Linked DNA regions of Macaca mulatta. The protein of the gene in region 1 purifies or fractionates together with the protein of each later gene. This does not show direct contact. Links are inferred from orthologs where the notes say so. Each region holds a gene or a part of one and is shown on either strand. Other genes may lie near its edges. The genes, in order: NUP153, NUP133 and RAN.

The links.
Region 2: the proteins of NUP153 (region 1) and NUP133 purify together in Homo sapiens (co-immunoprecipitation; 3 studies listed by BioGRID and IntAct, with this or other methods). This does not show direct contact. The link is inferred for Macaca mulatta from reciprocal best matches to the Homo sapiens genes NUP153 and NUP133.
Region 3: the proteins of NUP153 (region 1) and RAN purify together in Homo sapiens (affinity purification with mass spectrometry; 5 studies listed by BioGRID and IntAct, counting the BioPlex papers as one, with this or other methods). This does not show direct contact. The link is inferred for Macaca mulatta from reciprocal best matches to the Homo sapiens genes NUP153 and RAN.

The regions. Positions count from the first base shown.
Region 1 is NC_133409.1:165,353,092-165,363,748, reverse strand, and holds the start of NUP153 (nuclear pore complex protein Nup153), read right to left. Parts: upstream 5,648-10,657; 5' UTR 5,474-5,647; coding exon 5,363-5,473; intron 1-5,362. UniProt on the Homo sapiens protein: Component of the nuclear pore complex (NPC), a complex required for the trafficking across the nuclear envelope. Functions as a scaffolding element in the nuclear phase of the NPC essential for normal nucleocytoplasmic transport of proteins and mRNAs.
Region 2 is NC_133406.1:19,533,460-19,544,115, reverse strand, and holds the start of NUP133 (nuclear pore complex protein Nup133), read right to left. Parts: upstream 5,737-10,656; 5' UTR 5,627-5,736; coding exon 5,445-5,626; intron 3,568-5,444; coding exon 3,449-3,567; intron 1-3,448. UniProt on the Homo sapiens protein: Involved in poly(A)+ RNA transport. Involved in nephrogenesis.
Region 3 is NC_133416.1:138,249,686-138,260,463, reverse strand, and holds RAN (GTP-binding nuclear protein Ran), read right to left. Parts: upstream 5,932-10,778; 5' UTR 5,900-5,931; intron 5,435-5,899; 5' UTR 5,425-5,434; coding exon 5,389-5,424; intron 5,184-5,388; coding exon 5,099-5,183; intron 5,017-5,098; coding exon 4,891-5,016; intron 3,483-4,890; coding exon 3,295-3,482; intron 2,392-3,294; coding exon 2,221-2,391; intron 2,122-2,220; coding exon 2,077-2,121; 3' UTR 1,716-2,076; downstream 1-1,715. UniProt on the Homo sapiens protein: GTPase involved in nucleocytoplasmic transport, participating both to the import and the export from the nucleus of proteins and RNAs. Switches between a cytoplasmic GDP- and a nuclear GTP-bound state by nucleotide exchange and GTP hydrolysis.

The DNA.
Region 1 (10,657 bases):
GGGAGGCGGAGACTGCAGTGAGCCAAGATCACACCACGGCACTCCAGCCTGGGTGACAGAGCTAGATTCTGTCTCAAAAAGAAAAAGAAAAGAAAACAGTTTTAATTAGTGACATCAGACCACAGTTTTTATTTTATTTCAAACTAAGATACCTGCCTTGTCAGGGATTTCCCAGAAAATGGATACAGCAAGTGGGCTTTTTTGTCACTTATTAGAAAAATTAAGTAATTAATATAATACCACATGAAACCTCTCATCACAAGCAAAAGACCTACTTTGTATTAAACTATTTAATATATGCAACTATTGAATTTAGTCACCTAAAGGAAAAAAACCTCTGATAAGAAGCAGGAAAATTCAGAGACAATGTGAAGACCCTAAATCAGGAGGCTAATTTCAATAAATAAAACTCTAGTCTCCCAAAAAAAAAAAAAAAAAAAAAAAGACCCTAAATCAAACAGTTCTATTTAATTTCAAATCTCAATTGCATATATATAGTAAGGACTCAATTTTAAACAACTCCTTACTTATATACATATGCCAGGTCCTGTTCTAAAAGCTCCACTTGTCCCATTTAACCTCCACAACAATTTTCACTTTACAGATGAATAAATTAACTCGTCCAAGTCCAGGTAGAACAGGGATCCAAACTCAGGTTGACTCCACCACACTACAATTTTTTCCTATCAACTATCCAATCCTATCAATGTTTCCACTTCTATTCCCACTGATTAAGCATCTAGGATAAAGCAAATAAGGACAAAATAAAAGTCAAGAACTTGGTGGCTTCTGGAATGATTTAAATATTCAACCTCTAAATATCCCTCCTTTTCAAATCTGAGGACACTCCAGCTATCAGACACCAGGCAGGACATACTTATTTGGGATGAAGTATCACAAAGAAGCTACCAAAACAAATAAAAACTATATTATCATATAAACCATGGTATAGCAAACCATGATCTGTGGGCTGGGCCAAATTCAGACCTTGGCCTTTTTCATACAAGCTAAGAATGGTTTTTACATTTGCTAAAGGATTGTTAAAAACAAAACAAAGGACAATTTACCACAGCAGAGCCTAAAATTTACTATCTGTGTCCCTTTCAGAAAAAGTTTACTGAACCCTGATCTAAGCTACTGATAAAGAGGTTTCCTTCCCCTTTTTAAAAATAGCCAAGCAGTGGCTCATGCCTGTAATCCCAGCACTGTGTGAGGCCAAGGCAGGTGGATCACTTGAGGTCAGGAGTTCAAGACCAGGCTGACCAACATGGAGAAATTCCATCTCTACTAAAAATACAAAATTAGCCGGGCGTGGTGGTGCATGCCTGTAATTCCAGCTACTCAGGAGGCTGAAGCAGGAGAGTTGCTTGAACCCAGGAGGCGGAGGTTACAGTGAGTCAAGATTGCGCCACTGCACTCCAGCCTGGGCAACAGAGCAAGACTCCGTCTGGGGGGTGGGGGGGGAGGTGCTAAATGCAGGAACTGACTTGTAAGACAAACCATATCAAGTAGGATTAAAGGCGGAGTCCCTTAGCTCTAAACCAGAAGATAAATGTCTGAAGCACACTCCCCATACACCCCCATCCCCTCCCCTGGTCAAAAAGGGCAAAAATAAGTGGTTTCCTCTCACCAGGAGGTGGCAGTAAGTTCTGCCAGAGGCAAGGTTCTGGTTTGCCCATGGGCTCAAGTTTTTTGTAGTGGCTACTAAGAAAAGCAAGCAGCTTAACCTCTCCAAAGAGCTGACTTTCTGTGCCTGAGGATCTGAACAAAAAGGAAATGGGAAAGGAAGACAGGAACTAACCACATTCTTTTCAGTGACCTATTCACTCCCAACTAGAAAAATGACACCATTTCTGGCCAGGCAAGGTAGCTCACGCCTGTAATCCCAGCACTTTGGGAGGCCAAGAGACCAGCCTGACCAACATGGAGAAACCCCCATCTGTACAAAACATATAAAATTAGCCGTGTGTGGTGGCGCATGCCTGTAATGCCAGCTACTCGGGAGGCTGAATAGCTTAAACCCGGGAGGCAGAGGTTGCACTGAGCCGAGATTGCGCCATTGCACTCCAGCCCGGGCAACAAATGCAAAACTCCATCTCGAAAAAAGAGAAAAGAAAAGAAAAATGACACCATTTCCTAAATGCATCTGGGCAAAAAGGTAAAGGGGTAAGGGAGAAGGCAAGTGAGAATGATCAGCTTGCATTATTCAGGGATGTTCTTCATATTTGCTTCTACAATTCGTAAGAGTTATTACCCTTATTACCCTGCAGTTATCTGAGCAAGACAATGAATTTGTCTGCACGACTTCATGCAAGATGACATTTTAAAGATCAGAAGTTGGGCCCAGCACAGTGGCTCATGCCTGTAATACCAGCACTTTTGGGAAGCTAAGGTGGGCGGATCACCTGAGGTCAGGAGTTTGAGACCAGCTTCACCAACATGGCGAAAACTGGTCTCTAAAAATACAAAAATTAGCCAGGTGTGGTGGCGCATGCCTGTAATCCCAACTACTTGGGAGGCTGAGGCAGGAGAATGGCGTGAACTCATGAGGCGGAGGTTGCAGTGAGCCAAGATTGCACCACTGCACTCCAGCCTGGGCCACACAACGAGACTCCATCTCAAAAAAAAAAAAATCAGAGCTTAAGAGGGAAAGTGGTAAACTTATAGCATTTCCCAGGAGAGCTAAATCCAGAAGTCAAAACAGGAAATTACAAGTCAAATGAACACATGCAGAAGTCACAGGTACTGGGTGACCGTACTAGCAAGTTGCCCTGACAGGCACTGGCAAACATCCATCAAGTAAGAGCACCAGACCTCTCACTGTTTCTTACTTCAGCTTTCCGCTATACTACCAAAAGCTTAATTTTTGCTCAGAAACCCTTGGACACTTAATCAAATAACATGAGTATAAAACATGCCATGTCATGAAGCTTGCTTCATGATGACTCAGCAGCTGCTGCAAAACATCCAGTTCACAGTCTAGGATAGTAGACAGCAAGTGAGTAGACCCTATGTTCACCAAAGTCTCAATAAGGACTAAAGAAAGCCCTTATTTTTAAGATTAAAAAAAAAAAATAGAGTATTCTTTTGAATGTACCTGAATACTTTTCTTGGGTAGTGGTAGTTTCTGACAATATTAAAGAGCACCTACAGTGTTGATCAAGAAACCCCTAAATACCTTTAATTCCCAATTCAAAAGCTAAAATATGTTTTCTTTTTTAATTAAATAGCCAGAGCAAGAAGCAAAAGTATTTTAGATAAGGGGCAATGATAAACTATCAAGATTTAAAACAAAACTACACAGCCTGAAGCCATATCAACTCTAAGACACCTTGGATCATAGGTATTATGCTGTTAAGGCATCGTCTCCCCAAAATTAGATTTTTATTTTATCTAAGTACATTTCAAAATAAGCTGTGATAACTTCAGACATTTGGAAAATATTAATTCCCTTCTAACCTCTATCCAGACCATCCAATGACCTATATTTAAAACACGTCATTTTTCTATACATGTCATACAAGAAAATCTAAGCACTCAAAGGCATTCATAGGAGAAAAGAAAGCATGCATGTCTAACTTCCATTCTATAGAAGGATTAGGTTAAATGGCCAGGCTTGTGACCTGAATTCTAATCTTAAATCTGCTTGCAAATACCCCTGTTCGTCACAAATTTGAAAACTAAGTACTTTACATATATATCTCGGGGAAAATTGGTAGAAGTAATAACAATGCCAAACCTAACCATCAGTAGAGAACGACTTAAAATACCTGAGCCACGATTTTCACTACTCAAACATTTCCCTCAAAATAAAAAACATTTAAGAAAACTTAAAAAAAAAAAGTCCTCAAATCTTTACCTTCCCCCCCGCCCCGCCCCAGACGGAGTCTGGCTCTGTCGCCCAGGCTGGAGTGCAGTGGCGCGATCTCGGCTCACTGCAAGCTCCGCCTCCAGGGTTCACGCTACTCTCCTGCCTCAGCCTCCCGAGTAGCTGGGACTACAGGCGCCCGCCACCACGCCCGGCTAATTTTTTTATATTTTTAGTACAGACGGGGTTTCACCGTGTTAGCCAGGATAGTCTCCATCTCCTGACCTCGTGATCCCCCCGCCTTGGCCTCCTTAAGTGCTGGGATTGCAGGCGTGAGCCAAGGCGCCCGACCCATACTTTTACAAATCTGTTGATAATGACACAATTTAACAACATCAACCATGTGAAAGTGTGTAATATTTATTAGCATCCAGAATAAAGTAATCTAGGAAGTCTACCTTTAACAGTAGGCAACAAGTTATCAGATCCTTTTGCTACACTTTTGTTTTTCAACAAATTTAAAACACACACTTCCCACCTCAGTATCATTGATAAATTTTTAAGTGGCTTTATTAAAATAAGTTAACATTTTCCTATTCAATCCTTCTAACAACCAATTATTTTAAAAATGGAATTTTCTCAGAATCAACTACCTCATTTACAATTACGATAATCTTTTTTTATAATTTTAAACATCCACGAATTCATACACTGGCTAAACTATAAGATCACCAACATTCCTGGAGCGTCAAAAGTAACTAAACTTCTAGAATACGCCTCATAATATTAAAATATTTTGTGTATGAGATCAGAGCTGGAGTCCTGGTCAACTGTGGAGAATGGCCAATTCCAGCCTCCAAAATAAAAGCGGGGGTGGGGGGGAGTCGCGCAGCAGAGAAAAGACGTAAGGGTGGAGAGGGACTTTCAAAATGCCCCAGTGCCACGGTTAACTATAACCCGGTTAAGAAAACCTAAGCCAATGCTCTCAAGACGAGGAGGAACACCGGCAGGGGAAACCGAGAATTAATTCATAGGCTGAGACTAAGTTATTCCACTTTCCATGTAACAGCGCCCCCCACAACTCCCCGTCTGCCCCAGAGTTAAGATTCCTCGGGGCAGCCCACTCCCCACACACACACACTAAAGGAGGGACACCAGAAAACAACAAGGGCAATCAACCACAACTTTTCCTTTCTCCCTCGAGAGGACGTGAGTAATACCCTCAAACTCCAAATCCCCGCCAAAAAAGAAAGAAACGCGCGCATCCTGGGCCTACAATTTCTTTTCCCGCCCAGAGCCTGCCTGGGAAAACCCCTGACCCAGAGGGTTGGGGGAAAGGCGGCCCAAACCACACGTGTGCGCCGCAAGGCTGGACCTGTCTCAGCCCACTTCCCGTCGCCACCCCCAACGGCCTGAGCTCCCCCGAAGCCTCACTCGGGCCTTTCCTCAGGCCCTCCTGTCTGCTCCACGTGGGGCGCCGGGGCCTCGAACCGCCCGTCCCCTCCAGCCGAGTTTCCCCACCCGCCAGGCCACCGCGGCGTCGGGGTCCCATACCTGATGCTGTTGTCGCCCCTGCTGGTAAGGCTTAATTGGCCCCTGGTGGCAACGCCGCGTCCGGATCTTGCCGCCACCGCCCCCTCCGACTCCTCCGGCTCCCGAGGCCATGGCGGAGCCTCCGCCGCTTCCCGCTCCGGGGCGGGTAAGGGGGCGGGAGAGGCAGAGGCGGAGGCCTTAGAGCGCCCCCCCCGCCGCCCGGCCCCGGCCCAAAAGTCCGCCCGAGCTGTCCACACAGTGGGCACAAGCACCCCAGGAACCGCGAGGTTGCGAGCAGGAGCGGAGAGAGGGTGAGTGCTGGCAGCGGGGAAGGGGGTGGCGGCCGCAGAGGCCGAGGAGGCTCCGGTCCCGCCGCCTCTGCGGACCCCCGCCTCTGTGTATGTCACGGTCTCTATGGAGATCTCCCGCAGAGGACAGCACTAACAGCTCCCGGCGGTGCTGAGGCCTAACTCGACCGCCGACTGGTGGGGATTCTTCCGTCGCCCTAGCCGTAGCTGCCGCAGTTGAAGCCGCTGGCGCCGCCCGCCTACCCCTCCCCTGTGCGCACAGCGCCCGCCCCGCCGTCGTCGTCGTCCCTGCAGCCTCCGCCGCCGTTGCGCCTATTACCGCGGCTAAGGCGGCTGCCGCGGTCGCGAGCCAGAATGTCGTCACTCACAGGCGCCCGACGCATTTGCATCATCATGCTACGACGAGCTGGTAGGCAAAGAGGAAGGACTGATGGAGTCCACTCTCTCGGCCGCGCGGCACGCTGGGAAACGTAGTTCAACAACGGAACGCGGATTCTCGGAAAGGGAGAGGGACGGGGAAGGAGATCCCCGGAGCGCCGCAGAGGCACAAAGCCAAGGGGTACTTTTGCCGTTCTTGGTTGTAAATTAGACTCTGAAAAGGCACTTAACATAAAAACAGTAACTTCTTCCCACTCTCCTTCTCCCTGTCGGTTGGTTAAGTGGGCAGGAAGTAAGCAGATAGTAAAATCAAAGAGCTAATGATTTAAGAAGGAGGAAAAAAATCTGTGGTTGAAAAACAATGTCCATGATCCTTAGAATTAGAAAATATATACGACTTCATTAATGTTTATTTAAACATATAAAGGCTTTGTTGCCAGACACACGGGGCTGGAATTCTGGTTCCGCCACCCAACCTATTTGACCTTGGATGAATCAAAACCGTCTGAGCCTTAGCTTCCTCCTCCATAAAATGGGAGTTTTATAAAGCTGTTGTGAGAGGCAGACGTGATCATCTATGGAGAGCATGTATATTTACTAATAGGCGAAAAATGCAATGAATGATTACAATTTTAACCCATACAGTCAGCTAACATTAGAGGTAAGTGATAGATACATCCTTACTAATAAAAGTATACCGTATTTGCTCCAAATAGAAGGCATTGTATTTAGGAAACTGAGTAAGTGAACTAGACTCAAAGACTGAATCCACAAAATATATATTCTAGGAGTTGACGATTAGAAAGGCCCTGGTGATCACATAGTCCAACCCTCTCATTCAACCAACCAGACAAGAGGTCCAGAGAAATTTAGGTGGCACAATCAATGACACTGAGATGGGTAATCAAAGCCAGGACTATAACCCAACTTTTCTGTAAGAGTTAAAGACAAATAGCCAAATGATTAGGGAGGAAAAATCTATTGTGAAAAATCTTAGACTTACTATAAAGCTTATTTTTTCTTTCTTTCTTTTTTTTTTTGAGAGACAGTCTTGCCCTGTAGCCCAGGCTGGAATGCGGTGGTGCAACCTTGGCCCACTGCAACCTCTGCCTCCCAGGTTCAAGTGATTCTCCTGCCTCGGCTACCTAAACAGCTAGGACTACAGGTGTGCACCACCACGCCCAGCTAATTTGTGTATTTTTAGTAGAGATGGAGTTTCGCCATGTTGGCCAGGCTGGTCTTGAACTGCTGACCTCAAGTGATCCACCCACCTTGGCCTCCCAAAGTGCTGGGATTACCGGTGTGAGCCACCACTCCCAGTCAATTTACTGTAAATCTGCCACTTACTAGCTGTGTAACCTTTGGGAAGTTACTGATCCTGTTTCTTTCTTTTTTTTTTTTTTTTTTTTTTTTTTTTTTTTTTTTTTTTTGAGATGGAGTTTTTTTCTCTTGTTTTGCCCAGGCTGGAGTGCAATGGTGCAATCTCGGCAACCTCCACCTCCAGGGTTCAAGCGATTCTCCTGCCTCAGCCTCCCAAGTAGCTGGGATTACAGGCATGTGCCACCACGCCCGGCTAATTTTGTATTTTACTAGAGACAGGGTTTCTCCATGTTGGTCAAGCTGGTCTCAAACTCCCAATCTCAGGTGATCCGCCCACGGCCTCCCATAGTGCTGGGATTACAGGCGTGAGCCACCGCCCCCGGCCCACTGATCCTGTTTCTAAGCTTCGTTTTTTCATCTGCAAATAGAGTGAATATTGACCTCACAGGGCAGTGGTCTGGTGAAAGGATGAATGTATATCTAGTTCATAATAACTGCTTAGATAGAAAGCATCCAATATCAACCATGAATCAGATATAAATAATTAGTTCCAAGACATTTATACTATCTCCAAAATCCAACTGCACAATTCAGGTTCACGGTTTAAATCATACAAGTGAAATTGTAAAGCCAATCTTCTAGTACCTTTGAACTTGTACCTTTCAGTGCCTAAAGAAACTATGCTATACCAAGCATAGGTGTACACATCAATGGCTTTCAGTGGCACCTCTGACCATAACCATCAAAATCAAGACAAGTTGCCAAATATGATAAACAAAATTAATCTATTTTCTCTTCCACTCTCCCATCCTAGCTTCATGCCTCCTTCCACCACTAACTTCCCACTAAACTCTCCAAGTATGTCCCCTCTTCCTCCTGAAGCACTTCATCTTTCTTAAAGACAATTGTTTCCCTCAAGTGCTATCTTCCTCCTATGCAGAAATCCTACTCTTCCACAAATCCATAGCTAGATACTTGATAGCCAAGTAAAGTAATTCACGATAAGTTAACTCATAGGGAAGATCTGTACCTGAATCTTTAATTGGGTTATATGTAGAGGAGATTAAACTGTAGCCACATCCCATCTGCCCTCTTCACTCTATCAGACTCAGGAGTTTCCACCACAGAACAGAGGACTGACTGGAATCAAAGCTCACCCCTTTCTTAGAGGCCATTCTTTGATGTGCCGGACACCCTTCACAGCCAACTTTTGAAACGAAGAGAGACGCGAAAGAATTGGGCCAAATGTAGACAATGCTTCAGAAATAGAAGATTGGTAGAACTTGAGGAGATATGGGAAAATCCACATTCCTTTTACCCATGCTCTCAACTTTTTACCCATTTCCACAATTCTTTTATTTCTTGGAAGTAAAATAGGATTTGAGGGAACTATAATATATTAATCTCACGTTCATGTGATTGAATCATTGGAAGTCATGCCAGGCTTGAGAGCAAAGAAGGAATAAGAGACAGGAGGAAATCTGCATTCAACATGGGCCTAGTTTTTTCAGCCAAAACAAATGGCACATTGGGAGACACTGCAATTCATGAAAAGCTTGTTGCCACAATAGTCCTTCTCGAAACTTCTTTATTTTTTCCCCATATAATATAGTAAAAAGTGGCCGTGCATAGGCTGGGCGCGGTGGCTCACGCCTATAAACCCAGCACTTTGGGAGGCCGAGGTGGGTGGATCACGAAGTCAGGAGATCGAGACCATCCTAGCTGACACAGTGCAACCCCGTCTCTACTAAAAATACAAAAAATTAGCCAGGCGTGGCAGCAGGCGCCTATAATCCTAGCTACTCGGGAGGCTGAGGCAGGAGAATGGCGTGAACCCGGGAGGCGGAGCTTGCAGTGAGCTGAGATCCTGCCACTGCACTCCAGCCTGGGTGACAGAGCAAGACTCTGTCTCAAAAAAAAAAAAAAAAAAAAACAAAAACAAAAACTGGGGCCGTGCACAGTGGCTCACAACTGTAATCCCAGCACTCTGTGAGGCCAAGGCGGGTAGATCACTGGAGGTCAGGAGTTCGAAACCAGCCTGGCCAACATGGTGAAACCCGTCTCTACTTAAAAAAAAGAAAGAAAAATTAGCTGTGCGTGGTGGTGCTCACCCATAGTCCCAGGTACTCAGGAGGCGAAGGCAGGAGAGTCGCTTGAACCATGGAGGTGGATGTTACAGTGAGCTGAGATTATGCCACTGCACTCTAGCCTGGGTCACAGAGTGAGACTCCCTATCAAAAAAATTAAAAAACTAAAACAAGACAAACAAAAATATATATATATATGTAACCAGCTGCCAGTTATAAATTAGCAAATAGGCTGCTGACCTATCTCTAATAGATAAGGAGTATCCACTAATTAAAAATGAAATACAATTTAGTCTAAGCCCAACCTAGATTGAAAAAGAGCTATCATACATTCTTCAGAAGGTAATAATACAATTCTGGCCAAAGGAATGTTTAAAGATGACAAGTACAAGAAGTTAGGAAGTTTTATGTAGTTATTTCACTCTACCAAAACAAAATGTATCTGCTATGATGTCTATTAAAACAAATTATCACAGTCATGCACAGCATAACAATGTTTCAATCAACAGTGGGCCCAATATACAATGGTGGTCCTGTAAGGAGCTGAAAAATTCCTGTTGCCTATTGATACTGTCTTTGTCCTAACGTCTTATTGCAACACATTACTCACATGTTTGTGGTGATGCTGGTATAAACAAACCTACTGTGTTGCCATTTGTGTAAAAGTGGAGCACATACAATTATGTACGGTACAGAATACTTCATAATGAAAAGTGGCTATTACTGGTTTATGTATTTTTTTTTAAACAGGCACTGCTTGCAATTTCCTGTTGATACTATACTTTATTATTTTTAAGTATATTCCTGGTCAGGCATGTGGCTCATACCTGTAATCCCAGCACTTTGGGAGGCCAAGGCAGAAGGATCACTTGAGGCCCGGAGACTGAAACCAGCCTGGGTAACATAACAAGACCCCTTCTCTACAAAGAAATGAAAAAATTGGTTGGGCATAGTGGTGTGCACCTGTAGTCCCAGCTACTGGGGAGGCTGAGGCAGGAGGATCACTTGAGCCCAGGAGTCTAAAGGCTGCAGTGAGCTATGATCTTACCACTGCAGTCCAGCGTGGCTAACAGAGTGAGACCCCATCTCTAAAGAAAGAAAATAAAGAAAATGAAGCTATTGGATTTATTTATTTATTTGTTCCCTGTTTGCTTGTACTTTAGGGAAAGAAGAGCCACACAATGGGAAGATATTTAAAGATGTAAATCATTATATTCCCATTA
Region 2 (10,656 bases), on another chromosome or scaffold:
GGTGGTGCACTTCCCAGCTACTAGAGTGACCGAGGCACAGGAGGACCACTTGAGCCCAGGAGACTGAAGCTGCAGTAAACCATGATCACATCACTCCCACCTGGTCAAGAGAGCAAGACTCCACATCAAAAAATAAATAAACGGAAACAAAAACAAAAAAAGACTGGGCGAGGTGGCTCACGCCTGTAATCCCAGCACTTTGGGAGGCCAAGGTGGGCAGATCATGAGGTCAGGAGTTTGAGACCAGCCTGGCCAACATGATGAAAACCTGTCTCTACCAAAAACAGAAAAAAAAAAGTAGCCGGGTGTGGTGGCGTGCACCTGTAATCCCAGCTACTCTAGAGGCTGAGGTAGGAGAATGGTTTGAACCTGGGAGGCAGAGGATGCAATGAGCCAAGATCGCACCACTGCACTCCAGCCTGGGCAATAGAGCGAGGCTCTATCTCAAAACAAACAAACAAACAAAAAAGAAATATTTAGCAACATTTATATCGATAAATAATAAACTCATTAACTATATAAAACATTTCAAGGAAAATAATGTTCCTTCAAACACACATAATTTTCAAATAAGAGCTCCTTAAAGAAATGATAAATTATTTATTATATGGAGACAAAGAGTTTCATTCTCTATTAAGTGACAAAACTAAATTAGCATACGTCTTAGTATTGGTGGTAAACCTCCACAAACGTGTTAACAGCCCTGGAAATTTTATTAAGTCGAACTTTGCTCTTTAAAGAAAGGTAGAAGGGCGAAGTAAAAGGCACAATGTACAAGCGAAAATATCAAACCAAGCCCAGGCTGAGTGAGGACTTTTTGCTCAACTGAACTATCTGCTCAGTAATTTCCTTTTTCTTGAAAGCACTACAACGACTCCAGATCTTCAACTGGTGTGCCCTTAAGGGCTGACTTAACAGTAGTTGGCAGGTTTCTAAGTGCGGAAGAGTTCTTCAAGTTGACATATCTCTTTGTTTTATATATTCGGACTCCTAGGGACTCTGAATTTCTAGATATGGGGCTGTGTTATTTAATCTAGTCTGTTAAAATAGCAGGAGTACATTAAAAGGTTTAAATGTAATTTAAAATGAAATTTTTAGAGGAGAAAAATATACATATATATATACACAATATGTATATTTATTTAAAACAGAACAATGTATATAGAGGTTGGTAGTTTAGTTGTCTGAAAACAACTATCCCTAAAGCTCCCAAGGACCTATAGGCAAGATGTGCAAGTTCCAGCTGATGAGATATATTCCTTCTTCTAAAACAGAGTACTTTCAGCTTTTTTTTTTTTACTGTCAACAGTAATATATACAGTAAATAGAGTTATTCACAGTGTAATACATTTTACATCATGATACACCCATATACAATTTAAGTAAAACAAACAAAAATTTACTAAACATTATATGAGATGCATTCTATTTCTTCTTTTTTTAAATGCTGGTCAAGAACCGCTAAATTTTGGTCACTCCTACAATTTGAAAAACACTGTTCCAGAAAAATCACAAAGATCTAGAATTCAATCCTCAATAAAAATGACTTCAGCAGATATTAAGGATGCTCTGAACTTTGCTCTTTCAGTGTCATCCAACTGTTCATCTTTAAAGTTGCCTAAGCTTGTGTTGATTGTATCTGTCAAAATTCCACACTAATTCTCTGCCAACAGACTCTTCTAAAGGTACACCACCACAATGGTAACATCATAAATTTGTGCACACAGCCTCTGGGATGCTACATAGGATCCAGAAATAGAGGTAGGACTTGATTTTACTATATTATTAAACCCAATAACATAAAGTGCCAGTTTTGGGGTTTTTTTTTTAACGGTAAACTTCATAAACTTGATCAACTCTTCAAACAAGACTGAATTTTGCATATACAGTATTTCCCCCTTTTATCTGCAGTTTCAAATACCTGTGGTCAATTGCAGTCTGAAAATATTAAATGGAAAATTCAAATGAACAATTCCTAAGTTGTAAATTGCATGTTGTTCTGGGGAAAGTGATAAAAATCTCATGCTGTCCTGTCTAAAGGTTGTGAATCAACCCTTCGTGCAGCATTTCCATACTGTATACACCAAGCTTGTCCAACCCACGGCCCAGGGACACGTGTGGCCCAGGACAGCTTTGAATGCAGTCCAACACAAGTTTGTAAACTTTTTAAAACATTATGAGATTTACACACAGATCCATTTATTTATTTATTTATAGCTCATCAGCTCTTGTTAGGGTAAGTGTATTTTATGTGTGGCCCAGGGAAGCCAAAAGATTGGACACCCCTGAGACTATCCAGCTGTTTGTCACTTAGTAGCTGTCTCAGTTACCAGATCAACTGTTGCAGTAATGCAATGCTCGTATTCTTATTTAATGACCCCAAAATACAAGAGTAGTGCTGGTATATTGTTATAATTGTTCCACTTTATTAGTTATTGCTATTCATCTCTTAACTGTGCCTAATTTATAAACTAAACTTTATCATAGGAGTGTACGCATGAAAAAACACAGTATATATAGGGTTTGGTACTATACAAGGTTTCAGGCATCCACTGGGGAATCTTGGAAAATATCCCTCAAAGATAATGGAGGACTAGTGTACAGTACCTAAAACCATTAGACTTAATTTGATTGTGTTCAAATGAACTCATTCTCCTTCTCAAATTTATTATATATCTCAATTATAGTAAAAAACTAGGGCTGGGCACCGTGGCTTATGCCTGTAATCCCAGCACTTTGGGGGGCTGAGGCGGGCAGACCACGAGGTCAGGAGATCAAGATCATCCTAACACACTGAAACCCAGCCTCTACTAAAAATACAAAATATTAGTCAGGCAAGGTGGCGGGCACCTGTAGTCCCAATGACTCGGAAGGCTGAGGCAGGAGAATGGCGTGAACCCAGGAGGACGAGCTTGCAGTGAGCCGAGATCACGCCACTGCACTCCAGCCTGGGCAACAGAGCGAGACTCCGTCTCAAAAAAAAAAAAAAAGTAAAATAAAATAAAAAACTAGACAGGTGGCTGGGTGTGGTGGCTCATGCCTGTAATCCCAGCACTCTGGGAGGCCACAGTGGGCAGATTATCGGAGGTCAGGAGCTCCAGAACAGCCTGGTCAACATGGTGAAACCCCGTCTCTACTAAAAATAGAAAAAATTAGCCCGGCATGGTGGCTCACACCTATAATCCCAGCCACTTGGGAGGCTGAGGCAGGAAACTCGCTTGAACCTGGGAGGCGGTGGTTGCAGTGAGCTGAGATCGTGCCACTGGACTCTAGCCTGGGTGACAGAGTGAGACTCTGCCTCAAAAAAAAAAAAAGAAAACTAGAGAGGCTACCCATCTCTCTCCATTTACATAAAGGTATACGTGAGAAAACATAAATTTAATCTCTATGCCGCATCTAGGCTCCATCCTAAATTGCTAATATAGGTAAACGGAAAGATGACACCTACCTTCAGCCAATGTTAGCGCTTCCATGACTTTAACAGGAAGAGAAGATCCAAACGTTTTCACATCATAGTTCACAGACTCAGTTATGGAGTGGTGTGGGAACATTCGTGTTGGTGTTCCTCTAAAGAAAAAAGTCTAATTACCTTACTTATAACTTAAAATTTTCCATTATCCTAATTATTTATGTATATATTTTCACAATAAGGAGTTCTCTGAAAAAAATTAACACTGGCTCATATTTATCATGTAATTAAATGTAATATTTTTCATGTAAAAAGACAGGATTTAGGAAAACTAGGCTTCAATTCCATATGCTCTAGTAATAAAATGCATGCCTGTATTCACCTAAACTCCTTATAATTCTGCCTCTTTAGCTGTGAAATAAGGCTTAACTAGACCAGTGTTTTTTTCAAACAGTGGGTCGTTTTGCAGATCTCAATCAATATTTTTGAAAGACAGAATATAAAACATCAGCTTTTACCATATGTTGTGGTCAAATATATTTTACAAATATTGGCTTAGATGAGATTTACGTTCTCATTTGGCTTTAGGGTTTTAAGAATCTACCAGATCTGGCTGGGGCAGTGGCTCATGCCTATAATCTCAGCACTTTGGGTGGCTGAAGTGGGAAGACTACTTGAGACCAAGAGTTCAAGACCAGCCTGGGCAACATGGCAAGACCTTGTCTCTACAAAAAAAATTTTACATTAGCCAGGCATTGTGGCACCAGCTTGTAGCCTGGGCGACAGAGAGTGAGACCCTGTCTCTTAAAAAAAAAATCTATCAGATCTGTACAACCAAGCAAGAAATCAAACAGGTTACGAGCATCAGCTGTTACATGGTCTTCAACAGCAGATATCAGAGTAAAAACTATTTCCTGCTCACACTCTTCTTAACATTTAGAATACTGTAAAGCCACCAGAATAAGTTATTCTATGTCTTATGAGAATTAAATGAGGAGATGCACATACAGAATGGCTGAGGGCTTTGTTTCTTGACAGAGGATAACAAAGGTTTTTATTCAAATGATCATCAGAAAGAAGAGATTTAAATAAAACAACATACATAGTAAATAAAGTACGCTTTTATTCTCCAACTTTTCGTTAAAGGAATAGAAAACAATGCCAAGATCTGCACTTTGTACTTTTCAAAATATGCCCAAGAAAAGTCACAAAGATATGGTGCATTCTTTAAAAACCACTTATCCTTTAAAGTACTGCAAAATTTTACAGATAAATTTTAACCATAATTTCAAGACACAATACTCGGTGTTTTCCTGCAGGGAAAAATTCATTTATTATAGATGAATTCAGACAAAACTATGCAGAAACACGTTATCTTCTAAAGTTTTAGGTTAATTGTGAACATGGTGTGTGTTGGGGGGCGGGGGGAAGGGTGTGTGTGATTTTACTGGTGCTCCAAACCAGCAGTTTTAGTAACTAAATTACCACAGTACTCTTATCTCACTTATGTAAAGCCTTTTCCCTATAATTTACCTAGAAAGTTAAATTCCGTAGCTAGAAACCCTTCAATTACCAATCATCAGATATTAATGTCAGTTGGTATATTAGGCATTAAACAATTATATTTCAGGGTTGCAGGTCCTCATTATCACCATCACCTTACATCTGCATCGTGGCAATTCATACTAACTCCTCTGGCTCAGGTGACACATATTATCGCCATTTCACAGATGAAGAAAATCACGAGTGACTTACGCCCGATCACAGCGGTAGTAGGTGGGAAGTGGGTAACCATTGATGCGAATCCGGTTTGTACTTCACTTCTGCACAAAGGTATCCACGAAAAATGCAAAGTGGGGAATCAACTCAAAAAGTGAAGCAGGTATGACCTGCAAGAGTGGAAAACGTCTATTTTCCAATACTCTGGCATTCTCTTCCGCCGCCCCCGGTTCCGAAGGCTTCTGAAGACACCGATCCGGCCCACTGCGGCCCGTGAGCCTGCTGGTTGCCAGACCCAACCAAGGAGATCACTTACCGCGAGCTTAGCGAGCTACGCCGGCCCACCGGTGAGAAGAGCACTGGAGAGCTGACTGCAGACCCCAGGGGCAGACCCTTCCTGCTGGCCGTCCGGGGCGTGGAGCCGGGCCCGAGTCCGGCCAGGGGGCCCCTTCGGGACCCGGGACCCGGGGTCCGCGGAGAAGGGGCGGCTGGGAACATGATTCGAAGGAACAGAGACTTGGACGGCGAGGGATCTGGCCGTCGGGTTTCAGCGCGGCCTGCCCGCGGAGATTAAACACCTAAGGGGAGGGATGGCGCGCGATGATGACGTCAAACGCAGTGGCTCTCGCGAGTTGCGGTAGGAGCGCTGGCGGGGGCGTGATCGTGACGTTAAGGGCGGTGCCCAGCCCGCGGGGGAGGTCGGGAAGGCGGCCCGTGGCCGCAGATCCAGAACCGTTGGAGTGCAGAGCTTCCAGGGACGTGAAGCCGCAAAGCCAGGCCTCCTTCTTGACTGCTCCTAGTTGGAACTGGCCCTCCAGCAACTTGAACGCAGCCTCTTTTCACACTGGTAGTTCCTGAGACTCTTGTGAAATGAAAGATGTTCCTCAGTCCAAGCTGAGGACGGAGAAAAGCCTTTTGTAAAGCTGACACTGGTATCGCACTGTGATATTTGCTGTTTTCTAGGTTTGCCATTTTCCCATTCAACTTTGCACAGTTTCTTCCACGCTAATGACGCCATAAATCCGTGTCTCTAACCTGGATCCAGCTCAAAACCCCCAGACCCCTATCAAATCAGCTCCCTAGGGGACACATTCACCTGTAAGTCTTGCGGACTCCTCACAATCCGCTTATGAAAAGCACATTCATGTTTTCCTTTTAGGACCCCTCTTCTACCACCATCTCTGTCCCAGCTTGGTAAGACTGGCCAGTTGTCCAAGGCAAAGAGAGGAGTTCTATCTGCAGTCATCCCTCACACTTACCTCCACCCTAAGATCCTGGTATACGTTGTAGCTCCTACGTATCTGTATTAGATCACACATTTGCACCGCCTCTGCCCTGGTTCTGGTACTTTTCTTCAACCACTGCGTAGCCTCTTTACTGCCAGCGGGAGGGAGTGGGAGAGACGAGAGACGGGGAGATGGTTCCTTACCTGTGTCTAGTCTGACTCCACTCTATCTTCTCAGTGCCAACCCAATGAATTAAGGCAAACCTAATGCTGCTCTTGGGCCTGTAAATGCTTCAGTGGCTGACCATTGCCAGTAGTTATTTGCTAAGCTCCTTTGCAAGGTCTTATGTGATCTAAGGTTGGCTTTTCTGTCCGTGTTGTACTTCCACCACTTCCCACTTGTACTCCACATTCCAAGAACTTAAAAACCCAAATCCCCCTCCATTGCGCATGTACATGTTTCACCTGGAATGCACTCTGTGCCTTGTTGGTCCGGAAGGCGCCTACCTTACGCATCAAGTCAGTTCTGTGCTGCCTTCTCAGTGAAACCTTCCACAGGATTAGATACCCCTTATCCTTTTTGTCCTCTCTGCTCCTTTGTGTAGACTGTATTTTTATCCTGCATAATAGTTTGTTTTCATAACTGTCTCTCAAGTACCTCCTTGTAAATGTCTTTTAAAAGCAGCAGGAGCAGTGACTTTGTTACCTTTGTGGCACACAGTAACAGACATATAGTAGACTTTCATTCAACACGTGTTGAAATAAGGGGATGGTTAAGTAAACATTGATGTATCCACATGTGGGAGACCACAGTGTGGGTGTCAGTTGTTGACATTCCCCTGGGAAGCCAGTCATCGATCTATGCATGTCAGTGGCATCTGAGCAGTTATCTTGCCAAGGTTCCATAGGCTAGCTGCTTTACTCCTTCTCCAACCTGGGTGTCTAATCCAACTTGGCAGCTTGTTGAGTCTTAGGGCTCTGAGAGCCCAGTGCATTTTCCTCCTGTTTCATCCTTACAAGGAGGGGTGTGAAATAGGCAATAAAGAGTATTAATAGTTGTGTCTGAGAGGATTGGTGGAATCAATTGTATTCTTGTGCCTTGTTGGACTGGTTAGTGGTTTCCCCACCATCCTATTGTAAAAGCTGTTGTTTGCAGGAGTTAGAATGACTTGCCGGCACCTTTGAGCAAGAACTTTCCTGGAGTCCAAATGTATGACTTGAAGGATAGTGAGCAGACAGCACTAAAAGTCATCCATTCGTTATGGATTTAGTGAGTACCTACTATTTGTCAGGCTATGTGATAAGTGCTAAGGTTTATAACTAAACAAAGCCCAATGGGTCCCACTCTCATGGAGATTACAGACCAACGAGAAAGACACTGAAAAAATGAACACAAATATCCAGCTACAAGCTGAGATGTGTACTATGAAATAAAACAGCAAAGTGTATGAGAGAGAATCACTGGGGCTACCTATTTTTGGATGGAGGTCTATAAAGGCCTCTGGGAGAAAAGGACATTTAACCTGAGATATGAAGCATAAGAGAATGCGAGGAAGAATATTTCAGGCAGAGGATCCTTGGCCAAAGGTCCTGAAGCAGCAAAGGACTTGGTGCATTCTAGGGACTTTATTTATTTTTATTTTACTTTATTATTTTTCTAGCGATTGGGTCTTACTCTGTTGCCCAGGCTGGAGTGCAGTGGCGTGATCAAAGCTCACCACATCCTTGACCTGGGCGTCAGTGATCCTCCTGCCTCAGCCTCAGAGTTGGGACCATGGGCATGTACCACCACGCCTGCCTATTTTTTATTTATATATACATTTTTAGAAATGGGGTCTCACCGCCAGGCACAATGGCTCACGTCTGTAATCGCAGAATCTTGCAAGGCTAAGGTGTGGGAGGATGGCTTGAGGCCGGTAGTTCAAGACCAGCCCCTGGGCAACATAGTGAGACCCTGTCTCCCCAAGAAATTTTATTTTAAATTCTAAAAAAATACAATTTAAAAAATGGGGTCTTGCTATATTTCCCAGGCTGGTCTCAAACTCCTGTGGCTTTAAGTGATCCTCCAGCCTCAGCCTCCTGAGTAGCTGGGATTAGAACCAGGGACTTTAAACAGACAAATCAACCTGAAAGACTAAAAGTAAAGGAAATTGGAGAAATAAGGAGAGACTATGAAGGGCCTTTAGGCTCTGTCAAATAAGATCCTAGAGAACGCCGGGCGTGGTGGCTCACGCCTGTAATTCCAGCACTTTGGGAGGCCCAGGCAGGTGGATTGCCTGAGGTCAGGAGTTCAAGACCAGTCTGGCCAACATGATGAAATCCCGTCTCTACTAAAAATACCAAAAAATTAGCTGGGCATGGTGGTGTGCACCTGTAATCCTAGCTACTTGGGAGGCTGAGGCTGGGGAATTGCTTGAGCCAGGAAGGTGGAGGTTGCAGTGAGCCGTGATGGCGCCACTGCACTCCAACCTGGGCAACAGAGCAAAACTCTGTCTCAAAAAAAAGAAAAGAAAAAGTCCTAGAGAAAACAGATGGTACCCTCAAGCTAGGTAGTTAAAAGAATTTAATAAAGGAATGTTAGAGCCTGAGGGCGGTGGCTTACACCTGTAATCCCAGCACTTTGGGAGGCCAATGCGGGCAGATCACCTGAGGTCAGGAGTTCGAGACCAGCCTGGCCAACCTGGTGAAATCCCGTCTCTACTAAAAATACAAAAATTAGCTAGGCGTGGTGGTGCGCATCTGTAGTCCCAGCTATTTGGGTGGCTGAGGCAGGAGAATCACTTAAACCTTGGAGGTGGGGGTTGCAGTAAGCTGATACTATGCCGCTGTACTCACGCCTGAGCAACAGAGCGAGACTCTGTCTCAAAAAGTAAATAGGCTGGGCGCAGTGGCTAACGCACGTAATCCCAGCACTTTGGGAGACTGAAGCAGACAGATCACAAGGTCAGGAGTTCGAGACCAGCCGAACTGTGAAACCCCGTCTCTACTAAAAATACAGAAATTAGCCAGGCGTGGGGTGGTGCGCACCTGTAATCCCAGCTATTCACGAAGCTGAGGTAGGAGAATCGCTTGAACCTGGGAGGCGGAGGTTGCAGTGAGCCAGGATCGTGCCATTGCACTCCAGCCTGGGTGACAGGGCAAGACTTTCTCTCAAAAAAAAAATAAATAAATAAAATATGTGCCATGGTGGTTTGCTGCACCTATCAAATCCATCACCGAGGTATTAAGCCCCACATGAATTAGCTATTTTTCCTGATGCTCTTCCTCCCCCTACCCTCCCAAAGATGTTTTTTTATGATGGTAACAGTGGCCGGGTGCATATCTCACGCTTGTAATCCCAGCACTTTGGGAGGCCGAGGCAGGCGGATCACGAGGTCAGGAGTTTGAGACCAGCCTGGCCAACATGGTGAAATCCTGTCTCTATTAAAAATACAAAAATGAGCCGGGCGTGGTGGCACCCATCTGTAGTCCCAACCACTCGGGGGGGCTGAGGCAGAAAATCGCTTGAATCCAGGAGGCAGAGGTTGCAGGGAGCTGAGATTGCACCACTGCACTCCGGCCTGGACGACACAGCAAGACTCCATCTCCAAAAAAAAAAAAAAAAAAAGAAAAGAAAAAAAGATACAAAAATTAGCTGGGCATCATGGGTGCACAGCTGTAATCCCAGCTACTCAGGAGGCTGAGGCAGGAGAATCGCTTGAACCCGGGAGGCAGAGATTGCAGTGAGCCAAGATCGGCCGCTGCACTCCAGCCTGGGCAACAGAGTGGAAAAAAAGAAATGGTAGCAGTTCATACTGAAAAGGCTGTGGGGAAACAAGCACTGCTTACATATCTATCTGGTGGGATTGTAAAAGTACAATCTTTTAAGAGGACAATTTCTATCAAAAAGCCTTATAATTACTTGGCAATTTCACCTTAGAAATTTATGTGAAAAAAATCAAATAATAAAGACAATATTGTTTATAATAGTGAAGGAAGTAGAAAGTAACATAAATTGTCAACTAGATTTATAGTGCATCCACATTATGGAAAACTGAAAAAAAAATACTAAGGTCCTGAGTCTGAAAAAAAAAGCATTATGAAAAGCTATATTTAAAAGAATACATATGGACGTGAGTAATGAACACTTAACAATGTAGGAAAATATTCGTGCAAATTTTCTAAAAAGCAGTTTGGTTAAAAATAGTATGTGCAGAGAATTAGGTCAAAGTTGCAGTTACAAAAGATGCATAAGTCTAGAGATCTAATGTACAGCATAAGGATTATAGTTAACAACATTGTATTATATCCCAAAAATTTGCTG
Region 3 (10,778 bases), on another chromosome or scaffold:
AAAAAAAAAAACTGGCTCTCACACAAATTGAAACTGCTCTCCAACATTTTGCCCGCTAATTTACCAATGTTTCACATTATATCCACACAAGACCCATGCGTTAACTATGCTTTTTCTTAATGACGTTGCTCGAATAAGCTATTACTAGTTTGCAGTAACTTCGTATAAAGCTTTCATTAGGAGATTTCAAAAAAGGGAGAGCCAACTTTTCCCATATGTACAATCTGGAGAGAAATGACCCCTTCCCCACCCCACCCCCCACATAAAAGATAATAATCTCTGCTAACTAGTCAGTATTTCCTAAAGCAAATACTACAGATGATTCAAAAAATCCAGGCAAAGTCGAAGCAATATATTTTGCAACAATTATTCTTTCAATAAATGACTTGTAAATTCTCTCCCACACCATGTTAGACAGGTAAGCGACGTCACTTCCAAATTTCAACTGTTACATAGAAGATCCAGAATGTCAACACCACTTGCAATCTACACAAGGTTACAAACAACACATACACCTTCAATTCAAAATATCTGAATGAAAGGTTTCATCCCAATTATGGGAAAAAAACTTCCCATCTCACAGGCTGGTTAGAAACTGGTTCTGAATACAGCGTAACATACACAGCAATTCAGATCTTAAGAAACTCAACTGTTGCCAGTTAATACAGTAAGTAGAACTTTATTCAGCTTCACCCTTGTTTCATTTTTCCATATATGTAAGTGATCCTTTCTATACCTTTTAAGGTAAGTAATCACCTCAAGATAATCAGACATCTAAAGAAAACTTTGGTAAACTGGACTATAGTAATTGTATGAAAAAAAAATAGCTCTTAAGATTCCTAACTGCTACAATAGTGTTGATGGGATCAAATCCTAATTAGGATAGAGACCTAATTCATTTTTAAATGTGGGAAATATACAAGATTAAATGCTTAGTTTGATAAAAATAAAGGTTTCACCAACTGTTCTCCATTGCTGAGAAGCCCCCACACTGCCCCACTATGCGTATTCCTAGTATTTCATCCATGTCCTGCTCTGCTGTGCTGCCCTACAAAAAAATCCTTAGGAGGAAAAAAAAAAATAATCAAACGGTGTAGTGTGTACTGCTTAAGAACTTAATGTCCAAGACATCTTTAAAGTCCGGGAGTACCTGAAAACCGTGGGTAAACATGGACCATTTTCCTTGCATATCAACTTTACACTAAGCATCTAACATTCAAAAAGTGCAAAATTTGTACTTAACAGCAAGAATTCCCAAGCTCCTGCCATCCACTGATATTCCATCCTGTTTGAAGTTCTACATTAAAACATGATTACTTTTGCCATAAAACAAAAGTATTACCCTTAAAATATCTATTTCATATATACAAACCACATTATTTTTTATTCTGACAGGTCACAAATTTTGAGCAAGTTCTTCCCTAGGTGACCCTACCTAGCCAAAATGAAGGTGGAGCAAACATTGCTTTAGCTTAACTGCACTAATATTTACACCATGTGACCCTTCTAACCAAATAGAATACTGCTGATCTGCCATAATCAGTTTGTGTGACATGGCTCAAATGTACAAAAATAAAAAGTAGACATAGGGAGAAATTAACCCAATAGATTTCAAATTAAGCGATAATAGCAAGGCAATTCAAATATTAACATGGCATAAAATTTCCCTATTTTAGCGATTTCCAAATGCTATTTATAAACAAGGGATGAGTTCACTTGCTTAGATATTTGAAATACAACTTTATTCTGATTCTAAACGAAAAGGAATGGGAATGACAGTAACAAAACAAGATTTCACCACTGAATATTGTGATGTGACTGTAGCAGTCTTATATTTGAAACTCAAGGAATCAACCGCGTTCCAAAACAACTAAATATGCAGGTCCAAACAATGAAGGTATTTTTTAAACTGCCACATTCACTCCGAAGCCCACTCATCTCCTTCAGCATCCCACAGATGAAGCACATGTTCCGCTTAGCTAGATAATAATGAGGTGGCACACACGCTGCACCGCTGACATCACAGGACAGCTGCCTATAAAACTAGACTTCTGACGCTGGGCTCCAGCTCCATTCTCACAGGTCATCATCCTCATCCGGGAGAGCAGTTGTCTGAGCAACCTAGACGAAGAGATGAAAAAATGTTAACACTCCAGATCAAAACTGCCAGGAATATACAAGTCAAACGTTATAGCCTAGACAGCAAAGTGGCCGTAATACCTCTAAGTCGTGCTCATACTGCGCTGCCAAAGCTGGGTCCATGACAACTTCCGGTGGGGCAAGAGCAGGCATGGCAACAAATTCCAAGTTAGGGTCTCCAATGAGCTTCCTAGCGAGCCAGAGGAAGGGCTTTTCAAAGTTGTAGTTACTTTTGGCAGAAATGTCGTAGTACTGTTTAAAAGAAAATAATTTTACCTTTTAAAATTCATTAAGATGACGATTTTTCTAGGACATGGCAAGACAAGAAAATGTTAAGATTCTTGGCAAGGCATGGTGGCTCATGCCTGTAATCCCAGCACTTTGCGGGGGGGCTGAGGTGGGAGGACTGCCTGAGGCCAATAGTACAAGATCAGGCCTGGGCAACAGAGCAAGACCCCATCTCTACAAAAAAACAAATTAGGTGGGCATGGTCTTGAATGCCTGTGGTCCCAGCTACTCAGAAGGCTGAAGTGGGAGGACTGCTTGAGCCCAGGAGTTCAAGGCTGCAGTGAGCTATGTTCATGACACTGCACTCCCGCCAGGGCAACAGGGGAAGACCCTGTCTCAAAAAACAAAGAATATATAAATACACACACGTATCTCAGTTGACCAACCCAGACAACAGTGAAACCCCATCTCTATCATTCTTTAAAAACAATAGTATAAAAAAAGACAAAATTATTTCCTGCCAGCACAGTGGCTCATGCCTGTAATCCCAGCACTTCAGGAGGCCAAGGCAAGTGGATCACTTAAGGTCAGCAGTCGGAGATCAGCCTGACCAACATGGTGAAACCCCGTCTCTACTAAAAAAAAAAAAAAAAAAAAAAAAAAGTACAAAAATTAGCCAGGCGTGGTGGTACATGCCTTTAATCCAGCTACTAGGGGAGCTGAGACAGGAGAACTGCTTGAACCCGGGAGGCGGAGGTCGCAGCGAGCCCAGATTGCGTCACTGCACTCCAGCCTGGGGGACAGAGCGGGACTCCATCTTGGGAGAAAAAAAATCATTTCCATATATAATAGACACTGGTCAATTTCATGGTCTTACATACAATCTCCGCTAAGAGAAATAACTCAGGAAGTTTTAATTTTACACACCTGAAGATTCTTCTTTCGGTGGAAGACAATGGATTTCGCCTTCACTTTCCTGTCCTTAATGTCCACTTTGTTACCACACAACACAATGGGGATGTTTTCACACACTCGCACCAGATCTCTATGCCAGTTAGGCACGTTCTTGTAAGTAACTCTCGATGTTACGTCAAACATGATGATGGCACACTGGGCTGAAAGAAACAGTTGCGGTAATTAGTACACTGTTTACCACACAAGTGAAGAATGCTAAGAACCGCAGACTAGGATTCAACTATAGTCTTAGACCTCAACAAGGCACCTAGATCTCTCCCCTCACTTTCAAAGTCTCTTTCAATTCTAAGAACATTAACACAGAACTCTTCCTAAGAAAGATGAGCTGATTCTATCAAATCTCCCTGATAAACTTCACCATTAATACTCCCCTCATCCCCAAAACACTATCTGAAGTAATTAATGCCAAGTGAGATTCTGGAGAACCAAGCTGCCATATTCTGAGGGTAGGGCCTGGAAATAGTCTTCAGAAAGTCTTTAAATGGCCGACTATACTAGGAAATATCATTCCTGTCTTAAAAACTCCAGATAGGCCAAGCGATGTGGCTCATGCCTGTAATCCCAGCACTTTGAGAGGCTGAGGTGGGTGGATCACCTGAGCTCATGAGTTCCAGACCAGCATGGGCAACATGGTGAATCCCCATCCCTACCAAAAAAAAATACAAAAATTAGTCAGGCAAAGTGGCAGGTGCCTGTAGTCCCAGCTACTCAGGAGGCTGAGGCTTAGGAGGCGGAAGCTGCACTCCAGGTTGGGCAACAAAACAAGACCCTGTCTCAAAAAAAAAAAAATTAAATAACCCAGATAAAGTCTATATACTCACCTGCAGGAATAACTATGGTACAGTTAGTAAGGCAAGAAACCACAACTTTTTGGTTAAAGGATTTTTTGGGGGGGAAATTCTTGTGTTTATATGTACACGTTCAAGAAGAGCAAAAGGCATGGAATGATTCCAGATAATGTGTTATTAGCAACGTGAGGTTCCAGGAGAGATGAGTATTTTGTTTATTCCTCTCTTTTTGGTACAATGAACATTTTCCTTGAGATTTTTAAATCAAACTATTTGAGAAAAATACTCTGCACAACTTACTACAAACAATTTAACAAGAAATCGGCTAGTCTTGTATAACACTTGTTAAGACCTCCTATCTCCTCTGGTCTAGTATCTGGTGTTGCTTTGTAATGGACTAGAAATATTCATTGATCGCCACACCAAACTACACACAAGAACCAAAGTTTTCAAATACTGAAACTGCTGTTAACAGCCTGTTATTGTTTTAAACATGACTTATAAGTTCCAGTGTAAGTCATAGGTTTTTCTAAACCATGCCTAGCATGACACAGCATGCAACTTTCATAAAATTTTCTCCTCTGCCACCAAAATGGTGGTCAACTCCCTGAAGTCCACGTCTTTTTTTAACCCAGAAATGACACAATTCCCATTACAGTATTAAGCACTATTTGTTGGAACAGACCTGATTTTCTATAACCTTGAAAACTGAAGTACACAAAACCTCTCAAAAACTGTTCAGCAAGTTACAAATGCCTACCTTGGATATAATAGCCATCTCTCAGTCCGCCGAATTTCTCCTGGCCGGCTGTGTCCCATACATTGAATTTAATAGGTCCTCTGTTGGTGTGGAACACTAGGGGATGAACCTCAACACCCAAGGTGGCTAAAACGGAAACGACATGATTGAGTGGATGAATTTACCCATTTCTCACGTATTTCCACAAGCAAGGTTTTCCTGCACATACCTACATACTTCTTCTCAAATTCACCAGTCAAATGACGCTTCACGAAGGTCGTTTTTCCAGTACCACCATCACCAACCAATACAAGCTGTTGGAGAACACATTTGGAAGTAAACCCAAAACACTTCACCTCTCAAGATCCCAGAGTCATGGAACTTTAACCATCACAGGCTCACTTAAAACAAAGAATATGGATGCGGGGCCCCGTTACAGCCATCGTGGGTCCGGGAGGAGGGACCCGCGAGTCGCACGCGGTCGGACTCGGCCGCCTCCCGCCCCGCAGGGTTACCTACTTTGAACTGGACCTGGGGCTCTCCCTGCGCAGCCATCGCGGCGTTCCTGCGGAGGCAGAGGACGGAGGCGAGCGCTCGCGCGGCCCCGCAGCCCATGGCGGCCCCGCTCCCGCGCCCCCAGCGCCCCACGTGCCCGCCCCACAAAGGCCTCCCGCCCGCGGCGCCATGGCGGCCGGGCCTCGGAGCGGGAAGGCGGCGGGCGGGGCCGGCATCCGGGGCGGCGGGGCGCGGGGAACGGCGGACGGAGGAGTCGGGATAGGGACGGGACTGAGACCGGGACGGGAATGAGAGCGGAGGATGAAACGGGGGTTCGCGGGGGCGGGCGCCGACCCCATGCCCGTCTCCTGCCCCGGCACGGCCGGGCCCGCGCCACCCACCTACTCACAGCCGCCCGCTGTCCCTGGGCCCGCCACCTGCCCCGGCCCTGACCCCGGCTCCGGCCCCTATCCCGCCGCCGCCGCCCCTGTCCCCGCCCGGCCCTGCCCCCGCCCGGCCCGCCGCGTCTCACTACCTTCCAGAAGCGTCTCCGCGCCCGTCCGACTGAGGCTGGAAAGATGGCGGAAGCGCAATTCAAACGCCGGAGACGCAGCCGACGCCGGCGCGCGGGCAGGGGCGGGGCCGACGGGGGCGGGGTTGACAAGGGGCGGGGCAACGGCACGGCGCCCGCCCACGTGGCCCGCGCGTGCGCGCGCGCACGCACGCAACCTGGTTCAGTCGGCCGCTGCGGCCGGCGCTGCGCTTAGGGTGGGGCGGGAGGCGCGATGGACCGCGTGGGAGGGCGAGCCGGGAGCGCGCACGCATGCCGGCCCGTGGGGGCCACGTGCGCCGGCGCCCAGGGCGGGCTCGGGGGCGCGCATGCGCTGACAGGGAGGCGGCGCGCCCCTGGGCGGGAGTCGTTGGGCGCGGCCGGACTGTCGCGGCCGTGCTACCTCTTGGGTGGGAGGCGGTACTCGCTTGGGCAGACGCGGTCAGGCACGCGGCTTCCAGGCGCTGGCCAGCCAGTCCTTGTCTGTGCCCCGTGGGGTTGGGGTACTTGGGGTCCTGGGGCTTAGGATGGCGCTCGCGTGCGCGCAGGACGGGTGAGTGACAGAACGGATGAATGAATGAAGGGATCCTAGGCTGGGCCTCCAGAGTCAGCCCGCGGCTCTGTCTCTCCAGATCGCAGCCTTCACGCCCCCAGGACCAGGGCCAGTTGGAGAGCGAGGAACCAGAGAGGGATGCCCCCACCCCGGAAAATGGCTACTTATTTTTTTTTAAGAGACAGAGTCTCGGCCGGGTGCGGTGGCTCACGCCTGTAATCCCAGCACTTTGGGAGGCCGAGACGGGCGGATCACGAGGTCAGGAGATCAAGACCATCTTGGCTAACACGGTGAAACCCCGTCTCTACTAAAAAATACAAAAAACTAGCCGGGCGAGGTGGCGGGCGCCGGTAGTCCCAGCTACTCGGGAGGCTGAGGCAGGAGAATGGCGTAAACCCGGGAGGCGGAGCTTGCAGTGAGCAGAGATCCGGCCACTGCACTCCAGCCTGGGCGACAGAGCCAGACTCAGTCTCAAAAAAAAAAAAAGAGACAGAGTCTCGCTATTTTGCCCAGGCTGGTCTCGAACTCCCAGGCTCGAACGATCCTCCCGCCTCAGCCTCCCAATTAGCTGGGACTACAGGCGCGCACCACATCCGGGGTAATTTTTTTTCTTTTTTTTTTTTTTTTAATTTTTAGGGACAGGATCTTACTATGTCTCCCAGGTTGGCTTCAGGGGATCCACCCGCCTCGGCCTCCCAAAGCGCCCAGCTTCTCAAAGCGTTTCATAGGTTGGCAGCCTTGGCCGCTGCGTCCTACAAACAAAATGATAAAATTTTGTTTGCAGTCTGGGCGCGTCTTCCAGCCCCAGTTACGAACGCGGACGGAATAAGTGCTCAGCTTCCCAGCCCCGTGTTGGCCTGAAGCTGTAAGACTCCAAACAAGGTTGAGCTAGAGCGACCCCGACTTCCTGGGCGCCCCTGCCGACATGCAGACGGAAAAAGGCTCAAATCAGCGCAGTCAAGCGCCTTAGAAGAGTCCAGCATGGTGAAAGAGTCCCGGTAACCGAGGAGTCCTCCCTGCAGTCCTGGGCACACTTGAGTCCGCTGGGAACCCCAGTGACGCAAATTGGTCACAACGCGGGGGAGAACCGGCCTGCTGGGAACGCAAGTCCGAGCTCCCCCAGAACCCTCAGGGGAACGCCAAGCACCTCTCGCGGGAGAGCAGAATCTAACAGTAAAACGGGAATGCCCATTGCTTGTGACCGTGGATTTCCATTTCTAGGGAGAGGCTCGAGAGTTAAACTCACGCCTCACACATGTGCACAACATTTAATGCTGTATAACATTTAAAAGGATTGACGGTCGTCTGTTTCCACAGGTTTAGATAGACGTCAAAAGGATAATGTTGAGAAAAGCAGAAAGAGGTGATAATAGCTTTATAAAGTCTAGGCCACCTGTAATCCCAGCACTTTGGGAGCCCGAGGTAGGAGGATTCCTTAAACCCAGGAGTTCCCAGCCTAGGAGACAGAGTAAGACCCTGTTTCCAAAATTATTACATAAAGCCTAACACTATATGTAACTTTATCTAGAGGGATTATATATATAGTATAATGTCATTTGTGTACGTTTTTTACAAAAACATAAAAGCATATTGGCTATTGGATATATGTATTTTTTTTAATTGCAAGGATATACATACCATATCCTGATGGTTACTGCTTCAAGAAAGGGTAGAAAGGAGTGTGATGGAACTGAGAAGAGGAGTCAAAGAAGACTTTAACTTTACTTGCAATATTCTATTTCTTTTGTTTTTTATTTTTCTTTCTTTCTTTTTTTTTTTTTTGAGACAGAGCCTCACTGTCGCTCAGGCTGGAGTGCAGTGGTGTGATCTCGGCTCACTGCAACTTCCGCCTCCCAGGTTCAAGCGATTCTCCTGCCTCAGCTAGTTGAGTAGCTGGGATTACAGGCATGCGCCACCACAGCCGGCTAATTTTTTTTATTTTTATTTTTTTATTTTTAGTAGAGATGGGGTTTCATTATATTGGAATAGGTAATCGAGTGGTCACTTTGGTAGCACGTATACCAAAATTGGAATGATACAGAGAAGATTAGCATGCCACCTGCGCAAGGATGACAATTTTTTCTTTTACTTTTTTTCTTTCTTTTTTTTTTTTTTTTGAGACAGTCTCACTCTTGTTGCCCAGGCTGGAGTGCAGTGCCGTGATCTCATTTCACTGCAAGCTCTGTGTCCCGGGTTCAAGCGATTCTCCTGCCTCAGCCTCCTGAGTAGCCGGGTTTACACGCCCACGACACCACGCCCGGCCAATTTTTGTATTTTTAGTAGAGATGGGGTTTCGCCATGTTTGCTAGGCCTGTCTCGAACTCCTGACCTCAGGTGATCTGCCCGCCTCAGCCTCCCAAAGTGCTGAGATTACAGGCGTGAGCCACCGCACCCAGCCAAGGATGACAATTTTTTTAATTAATTAGAAAAATTTAAAGAAAAAAGGTAATCAAAGCAAAGGTGACAATATATTAACTACTATACAGTTCTGGGCATTGGAACACCCGTGTTTATACCTTTTGGCATTTTTTTCCCCTACAAAAATACCAAGTGGAAATATGTCAAACCGAGAGTATTAGTTGTTCTAGCACCTGGCCTTTTCAATGGGGCTCTGGCGTGGTATCTCAGCTGTGAGTGTTATTAGCCAGCCCAAGCTCGGAACTTTCTAAAGATCATCTTGCCGGATGTGGTGGCACGCACCTGTTGTCCCAGCGACTATGGAGGCTGAGAGGGGAGGATTGCTTGAGGTCAGAAGGCTGTAGTGAGCTATGATCCCACTTGTGAATAGCTACTGCACTCCAGCCTTGGCAACATAGTGAGACCCATCTCAGAAACAAAGACCACCTTAGGAGCAGAGTGAAAACAGGAAAATATACTGAAATTGTTGTGTTTTGCTTCTTTTTTTTCTTTTTCTTTTTTTTTTTTTTTTTTTTGTGAGATGGAGTTGCCCAGGCTGGAGTGCAGTGGCGCAATCTCATCTCACTGCAAGCTCCGCCGCCCGGGTTCACGCCATTCTCCTGCCTCAGCCTCCTGAGTAGCTGGGACTACAGGCGCCCGCCACCTTGCCCGGCTAGTTTTTTGTATTTTTTAGTAGAGACGGGGTTTCACCGTGTTAGCCAGGATGGTCTCCATCTCCTGACCTTGTGATCCACCCGTCTTGGCCTCCCAAAGTGCTGGGATTACAGGCTTGAGCCACCGCGCCTGGCCAATTTTTTGTACTTTTAGTAGAGACAGGGTTTCACCGTGTTAGCCAGGATGGTCTGGATCTCCTGACCTCGTGATCCACCTGTCTCGGCCTCCCAAAGTGCTGGGATTACAGGCGTGAGCCACCGCGCCTGGCCTGAAATTGTTTTAGGTATTGTTTTCTCTGCTAAAAACTCCTCTGATTATCAATGGCTTTGCAGTTTGTAGAGATACTTAAACTTGTCTTTGCCATCCAACATGAATTGCAAACCTGTGCTTAAACTGTAGTTTAAAAAATTGCAGCCAAATACGCAGACTTACCAACTATATGCAGACCTACCAAAAAGTTGCAAAAATAGTACAAGGAATTTCAACGTACCCTTCCCTCTGTTTTCCCTAAATCTTAACATTACTTGCTTTTTCATTTGTCTCTGTCATTCCCTGTCCTCCCTTTCTCTCTCTCCATACATAGGAGTGTGATGGAACTGGGGAGAGAGGTCACAGAAGACTTTAACCTTACCTGCAATGTTCCATTTCTTTTTTTAAAATGGTAATCAGGCTGGGTGCGGTGACTCACGCCTGTAATCCCAGCACTTTGGGAGGCCGAAGCAGATGGATCACTTGAGCCAGGAGTTTAGGACCAGCCCGGGCAACATGGCGAAACCCATGTCTCTAAAAAAAACAAGAAAGAAAATTTTTTTTAAAAAGGGTAATCAAAGCAAGGTGAGAATATATTAACCATTTGTACAATTCTGGGTGATGAGAACATCAGTGTTTCTACCTTTTGGCGTTTTTCCCCTACAAGAATCCAGTCCAGGATTACATGTAACGCTTTTAGCTTGTTTCTCAGGCCTCCTTAGTCTCTAGTGTTTTTTAGAGACAGGGTCTCTGTCACACAGGCTGGAGTGTAGTGGCCCAATCATAGTTCACTGCAGCCTGGAACTCCTGGCCTCAAGTGATCCTCCCACCTCAGCCTGCTAACTAGCTGGGACTATAGGCATGTGCCACCAGGCCCAGCTAATTTTTTTTTTTTTAATTTTATTGTAGCAATGGGGTCTCACTATGTTGCCCCAGCTGATCTCACCTATATACCTGTATGTGATTTTATAAAGATATATTTCGGTGTGT